2 linked regions of the Caenorhabditis elegans genome follow. Each later gene encodes a partner of the first gene's protein in a complex. Each region holds a gene or a part of one and is shown on either strand. Other genes may lie near its edges. The genes, in order: rpl-5 and rpl-11.2.

Region 1 (3,863 bases):
TATAAGAATGGTTTTTAGCACTATTTCTGAATTTTGTAGGAAACACTAAAATTCGCGGATCAACTCATTCGTAGCCATAATCAAAATTTGAAATATAAGATTTTATTTGAAATTAAATCAAAATAAAATAATTTAGTGCTTCTTGGCTCTAGCTGGGCATGGGCAATAGTTAGCATCTGGTCCAATAGATCCATCCTTTCCTGGCAATCCTGGTTGTCCATTATCAGCATCACGTCCTGGTTGTCCATCTGGTCCCTGTGGTCCTTGTGGTCCTTGCTCTCCATCAACTCCAGAATCTCCGTTCTTTCCTGGTTCTCCTTGAGATCCTGGCCATCCTGGAGTTCCTGGTTGTCCTGGAAGTCCTGGTCCTCCAATAGTTCCATCTTGTCCAGTTGGTCCTTCAGATCCTTCAGTTCCTGGCTCTCCTTGTGGTCCTTGTTCTCCAGTGATTCCGGCCTCTCCTGGAGCTCCATCTTCTCCACATTGTCCTGCAGATCCAGATGCTCCTGGGAATCCTGGCTCTCCAATATCTCCGTCTGGTCCAGTTTCTCCTGGTGGTCCTTGTGGGCATTGAATGCATCCTCCTGGAAGATGATGGGTAACAGCCAGAGATACTCCAGAAGCTCCATCACGTCCCTTATCTCCAGATGGTCCTTGATCTCCACGTCCTCCTGGAAGTCCTGGTGGTCCTGGTGGTCCTGGTGGGCATCCTTGAGAGTTGGCATCACAATTACATTGAGATGGATAAGCAGAACGCTTGTTACGGAAAACGCTGGCGAAAGCGGCACTGCGGGATTCAGAATCAAGAGATGGCTTGGTGAATCCAATCATACGATTCCATGCATCATCAGACATCACCTGAAAACAGTTTTTTATAGGCATATCCAGTTGAATCCTTTCGGAGTCCAAGTTGACTATAACTCATAGATTTATAAAAAACTAATACTTTAAATATAAATACTAACAGGTTTATCATAATTACCAACCTTCATGTCATGGACTCCAGTTACAATTTCTTCTCTCATCGTGTCAATATCGACAACAATGGAATGCATGGCGACAAGGGCGCCAAAAACGGCAACCAGCGAAATAGAAGCACAAACGGGAACCAAATATTTTGACATTTTTAGACGATGTCTGAGTGTTCCATCAGGAAACGATTCATTTTAATAGTGAAGACGTTCGTGGTGAGATATAATGTGAACTTGAGAGAGATGCGTGACGGTACTGGAAGCGAATCCACTTTTTTCGACAGCGCGAAGAATCGAATAAAAAGTTAGGACCGTATGGGAAATTGTTTCTAAGTTTTTGGTGCAAAAAACCATTAGTGATAAGGAAAACCTGCTTTTCCGTCCATTTTTCATTGCCGGATAATCTTCTTGAGTGTTTTTTTTTCTGATTTGCATTAAAATTGGTTTTTTAATATCTCAATTCATATACGATTTGTTTTCTGTCTGTTTCCCTACTAAAAACTTATATTTTGAAGTTAATTCACAACGTTTTCTCGTTTGGAAGCGATGCCTACCGTACCCTTGCTGTTTGAATTCCCGCGCCTGCGCATCAAACTTTATGTGTGCAGTGGCGGTGTACGCACACCATCAACTCGCGTCTGATTGCGGACTTGAAGCAAATTTGTGTTGTCCTAAAAATTTTCTATTCTTTTTTTGATTTTTCAGTGCTTTTCACGATTTTTTTAAAATAAAATTAAACAAAAAATAAGATTACACTGATTTATCGATTTTTAAAGTCACTGTCTACACTTTTTCGATTTTTTCGAATATTTATCGTTTTCTTTGCTTGAAATTCCGCCATCTTTGAGAGTTTCATTGTTCACTCGTAATATTATTTTTGTTAGTCATTTTTTGCTAATGGCGAACGCTAGAACTTCCCGTTTCCTTCGAAAATAAGCTTGGTTTCTTCCCGATAATCGTTTCGTTTCTCTCTTTCTATACAGGATAGTTTTAAAAATATAATATTGCAGAAGAACATGGGTCTCGTCAAGGTCATTAAAAACAAGGCCTACTTCAAGCGCTACCAGGTCAAGCTGAGACGTAGACGTGAGGGAAAGACTGACTACTATGCCAGAAAGCGTCTTACCGTCCAGGACAAGAACAAGTACAACACCCCAAAGTACCGTTTGATCGTCCGCATCACAAACAAGGATGTTGTCGCTCAGGTAAGGTTTTCATTAATTTCAAATGTAGAATATATTAATTTAAGTGTTTCAGCTCGCTTACTCCAAGATCGAAGGAGACGTCGTTGTCGCTTCGGCTTACTCCCACGAACTTCCACGTTACGGACTCAAGGTCGGACTTACCAACTACGCCGCTGCTTACGCCACCGGACTTCTTCTTGCCCGTCGTCACTTGAAGACCATCGGACTTGACTCCACCTACAAGGGCCACGAAGAGGTATTTTGTATTTCTATTTGATCTTACTTTAAATTCATACTTTAGCTTACTGGAGAAGACTACAATGTAGAAGAGGAGGGAGACCGCGCTCCATTCAAGGCTGTCCTCGACATCGGACTTGCTCGCACCACCACCGGATCCAAGATCTTCGCTGTGATGAAGGGAGTTGCTGATGGAGGCATCAACGTTCCCCACAGTGAGAGCAGATTCTTCGGATTCGATCAAGAGTCGAAGGAGTACAATGCTGAGGCCCACCGCGACCGCATTCTCGGAAAGCATGTTGCTGACTACATGACCTACTTGAAGGAAGAGGATGAGGATCGTTACAAGCGCCAATTCTCCAAGTTCCTTGCCGCTGGATTGAACGCCGATAACCTTGTTGCCGTAAGTTGAATTATTCCTATTTTTGTAACCAATGTTTAAAATATTCAGACTTATCAAAAGGTCCACTCCGCCATCCGTGCTGATGCCTCTCCAGCCGCAAAGAAGGCTGCCAAGCCATCCAAGAGACACACCGCCAAGAGGCTCACATATGACGAGAGAAAGCAACGTGTTGCCGACAAGAAGGCCCTTCTTCTCCAACTCAAGGAGCAACAGGAGTAACTCTCTTTTTGTTATTTCGTTTTCAAATGAATGTATTTGTTGACAGTCTCGAGTTTTGTTACAATTTGTTCGAGTACGATAAAATTATACATTGGATTTCTTGATTTTTGAAGTCTAAATTTCAGTTAAAGTTAAGATGTCGGAAAATCCTGTCGTTTCCGATAAAAAACCAGGCCCATCAAAAGACTCTTCCTTTTTCTCCGATTTGTATGACAATTTGAATCAAAACCCGTATTTTAATGCGGGAGCTGGTCTAGCGGGAATAGGAATAGCAATGAGCTTTCTGCGGAGGACAGCTCAAATCAGCAACACGTATTTTCGTAGGCGTTTTATGATCAATCTTCAAATTAATAACGAAGACGCGTAAGTTATTTACAGAAATCCATCAGAAAATATAATGATTTTAGAGCGTATCCATGGCTTCTCGATTTCATTAATAATCGAAGTGCTACCCAAACACGGAATTTATCAGCGAATACAGTTGTTCATCAAGCTGAAAGTGGCAAAACTGAATTATCAATATCATTCCTACCTGGCCATGGAACTCATTTTTTCGTCCATGATTATCGATGGATCAAAGTCGAAAGGCAGCGTGAAAAGCAAGTTATCCAGCGAGACGGAATTCGTACACCATTTGAAACTGTCACATTGACTACGTTAGGCTCAGATGTGAAGTTTTTCAAACGGATGCTCGAACAATCTGCAAAAGAAGCCATTGATAACGCTGAAACGGGTCTTGTCATCTATCAAGCTGTTGGTCCACAATGGATTCGATTTGGTGTTCCGAGGAAAAAGAGAGACATTGAATCAGTTATTCTTGATGGGAGAATCTGTGAAGAGCTGGTTGAA
Region 2 (3,565 bases), on another chromosome or scaffold:
TTTTTTCGAAAGAAACCAAATTTTTCAGTTTCAAAGTTTCATTTCATTGTGTAATTCGGTGGTGTACTTTTCATTTTTCATATCATGGAAATAACTGAAAACATGCAAAAGCACGATTTTTAATATTTTATGATCTTTAAGCCCGACTTGAAGCAACTGAGTTGGCTGACAATTTCAACAACTGTGAGCCATTATAGAGCCAATATTGTACATAGCGTTTACCAAGCTTTTTGGTGCCACTCGACTTTTAAGCTCATATCTGAGCAGCCGATAGAGCTTTCTTTACAAAAATTTACAGACTTATGCTGAAAAATATACAAATCATGAACCATTAACAATAGCTTTATCAATCTTCAAATAAGTTTGGTCTTATTTATTTCATATACGCAATGAAACTAAGTTTATTTATGTTTTCGAATTTTCGATTTTCGATTTTCGAAATATATTTTCAGAAATCCCAGAAATATTTCAGGAATTCGAATTGATCACATATCAGATACCAAGGACCGTCAAATTATTTTTGTTCAAAACCCGCCGCTAACTCTCGGAACATAGATCCGATAATTGCGTTATGAACTCGAAATTCGACACATTTGTTTAAGCAACGTAACTTGTATGATTTAAATTGAAAAAAATAAATAATTCTAGATTTATTTTTAGACGCGCCTAGAAAATGAGGTCGTAAGGTTTTATCGAATCACTTGATATATCTTAAAATAACAGACTTATCTCTCTATAAAGTGCTCACAAAGTTCTGACGTTTTTCCCACAATCTTTTCCTTTGCGAATCCACGTTAATTTTTAAAGCTTTTTACTTTTCAGTGTTCAGAAGATTGAGGTTTTTGTGCTCTGAAAAGTTCAACCCAACCCCAAAAACATCATTTTTAATCTGGTACAACATATAACAGTTTATGTCAAAAAATCAACAATTTTCTTAACGGCGACGGTGGAATGTGCGCTTGACCTTTGGCTTTGGTGGGAGGATGATTCCGTCATACTGAAAATTTGAAGATGAACAAAGGTATCTATGAAGCGAAAATTTACCTTCTGTTGGAACCACTTGATGGACTCCTCACGCTCGACTCTGTGGGATGGTCCGACACGTCCTGGGGCGCGTCTTCTCTTGGCGATACGGCGTCCAGCACGGTCAAGGACAACGTAGAAGTCCATTCCGTAGATTCCGATCGATGGATCGTACTTGATTCCCAAGTCGATGTGCTCCTGCAATTCATTAATACTTACAGCTGACTAGATCGCTTCTGCAATGGTTACCTGGACTCCGAATCCGAAGTTTCCGGTGTCGGAGAAGTTCTCCTTGTAGAGCTCGTACTCCTTGACCTTGAGTCCCTTCTCGAGGATTTCCTCGGCCTTTGGTCCGCGGACGGTGCAGTGAACGGCGATCTTTTCGTTTCTGCGGATACCGAAGGTACGGACGGTGTAGCGGGCCTTGGAGAACACTGGGGTCTGTCCAGTGAGCTGCTCGAGCACCTGAAATAAAATAATTCAGTTCATATTCTGCAACAAGTGAAAATTAACTTACCTTAGCGGCACGGGTCAGTCTATCTCCAGACTCTCCGACGCAAATGTTGAGGCAGAGCTTCTGGATCTTGAGCTCACGCATAACATTGCGGGCCTTCTTCTCGCGGATTTCCGTCTGCTTCTCGATGTCACCCATGTCTGTAAAGAGGTAAATAACAATAAAATAATTTTAAATGTAACGGCACAAATTAACAAAAAAGAAAATTGCAAATTTCTAACATCAGAGAATTTCAAAGAAAAACCCAAAAAACTAAAAATAAACAAACTAATAAAGGTTTTCCACCTAAAAATCATCTTCTAACTAATAACCCTAAATTAAAATAATCACTAACAAAAACGCGAATTAAATTATGAAAATCCATTGAACAAAGCTTTCGATTGAAAAAAGTTCGAGTCATCCAATTGTAAAGGGCCTAAAATTTAACAAGAAAAAAGGAAAGATCGGAAATTCTCCTGCAGAATACGAGAGGCAAAATGACTACGGTAACACTCGTTTCTGGCTGTGTGTCCTGCCTGCACATCTAACTTTACGCTGGCAGAATGCCAACATCTCTCGCGTCATCTCGAGTCTCCCACTTCCAAGTGATATTTCCTTTGCAAACCCGGGGGTCTTTGCGTTTTTGGGCCACACATACAAATTCGCTTGGCAGATGGAAAGCAATCGATTAGAATCTGTACAGGACATGTTTCCACGGAGCCGCCGTTGATTTGGTAAGACTTTGGGCCTGAGCCATTATTAAATAAATTTAGTTATCCGGACATTTTTTTATTGTAAAAAAACGGTATTAAATGTGAAAAATTGAACAAAAAAGGTCCAAATCAGTAAGATATGCAACAAAAAAGGTAATGTAAAAAGAAATTGGAATGTGTTCAAATGAAAACGTTTTTGGAGCAACAGAAAAAAAGTAAAGAACAACCGGTCATTCAAAATCACCTAAGACAGAAATTTGGAAATGAGGAGAACAGATAAGGAATAGGTTGACAAGAATTTTGAGAATCACAATTGAAAGTTAACCGTTTCAGAACAGAGATCTATTGATGGAAGCAATTGAAAGAAGGCCGGAAACAAATTTTTGAGTAAAATGAAAAGGAAAGCAACTAGAAGTATATGATAACAACGATTAAACTTCATCCACTGGATTTTCATGATTCTCGTTTCCAAGAAGGACGACAGCTCTGCAAACGGAGATTATGATTGACTTTTGAAACGGAGAGGGGAAAAACTCACTGATGACATCGCTTTCCGTGAACTGAGACTCGAACGGTTGGAGAGTCGCCAGTGGAAGTTGGCGATAAGCTTGATCTACATCCAAATAGTCGGAGAAATGCGTGACGGTATTCAGAAGAACACAGAGCATAAAGGTAGAAGTTGTAGAGATAACTGAAAACGGGGAAAGGTTTGGAACCATCTTTCAGCTTTGAGCTCTTTTCATAAACTACTGAATTTTACAAGAAGTGAAAAAAACCATAGCATGTATTGAATTTTTTGGAGAGTTGAAAAAAGAAAAAAAGCAATTAATTTTTTGTTTTAGGTAGCCATACCTTGTGACTTGAAGAAGATTTGCAATGGCACGGAATATCTGCCAAAACAATGAACCACTAACTCGTCTGAAATGCTGTCCAGTTCAAAGAATTCTCAAAATATTAAGACTTACCGAACGAAGAAAGATATAACGGAGGCAGGAATATTGCAGATGATAAAAGTAGCAGATGTAACGAACAGAAGAACTGATATACGACTGCGATCATCGCGCGGCGACCGAAGTTGGCGTTGAGCTAATGTTTCAGTCCGACTGTTTTGTGATGGCTGTCTCCAGAACCAATTACGTTTGTCAATTTTCCGCAGGCCACGAACGACGCACATGTTCAGGATAACAAGAAGTAGAACGGGACCCCAGCGGCAGATACACTGAAAATTAAACATAAAAACTACTTTTAAAAAAATTCGATTCACTTACTTCTCTTACTATAAGATAGAATTTAAAAACTTGAAGTGCCTCCACATCTTCGTTGCGAACAATTGTGT

What was found.
Region 2: rpl-5 (region 1) and rpl-11.2 share a complex: the UniProt entries of both Caenorhabditis elegans proteins name them as parts of the large ribosomal subunit.

The regions. Positions count from the first base shown.
Region 1 is NC_003280.10:8,567,946-8,571,808, forward strand, and holds rpl-5 (Large ribosomal subunit protein uL18), read left to right. Parts: upstream 1-1,981; 5' UTR 1,982-1,987; coding exon 1,988-2,176; intron 2,177-2,228; coding exon 2,229-2,411; intron 2,412-2,456; coding exon 2,457-2,795; intron 2,796-2,843; coding exon 2,844-3,014; 3' UTR 3,015-3,041; downstream 3,042-3,863. Other genes in the region: col-38 (Cuticle collagen 38), read right to left, coding at 133-858, 987-1,124; bcs-1 (Mitochondrial chaperone BCS1), read left to right, coding at 3,151-3,377, 3,422-3,863. UniProt on the Caenorhabditis elegans protein: Component of the ribosome, a large ribonucleoprotein complex responsible for the synthesis of proteins in the cell.
Region 2 is NC_003284.9:2,240,942-2,244,506, forward strand, and holds rpl-11.2 (Large ribosomal subunit protein uL5B), read right to left. Parts: upstream 1,678-3,565; 5' UTR 1,676-1,677; coding exon 1,541-1,675; intron 1,489-1,540; coding exon 1,273-1,488; intron 1,222-1,272; coding exon 1,045-1,221; intron 998-1,044; coding exon 935-997; 3' UTR 797-934; downstream 1-796. Other genes in the region: putative G-protein coupled receptor AH9.1, read right to left, coding at 2,661-2,715, 2,768-2,920, 3,082-3,147, 3,195-3,448, 3,498-3,565. UniProt on the Caenorhabditis elegans protein: Component of the ribosome, a large ribonucleoprotein complex responsible for the synthesis of proteins in the cell.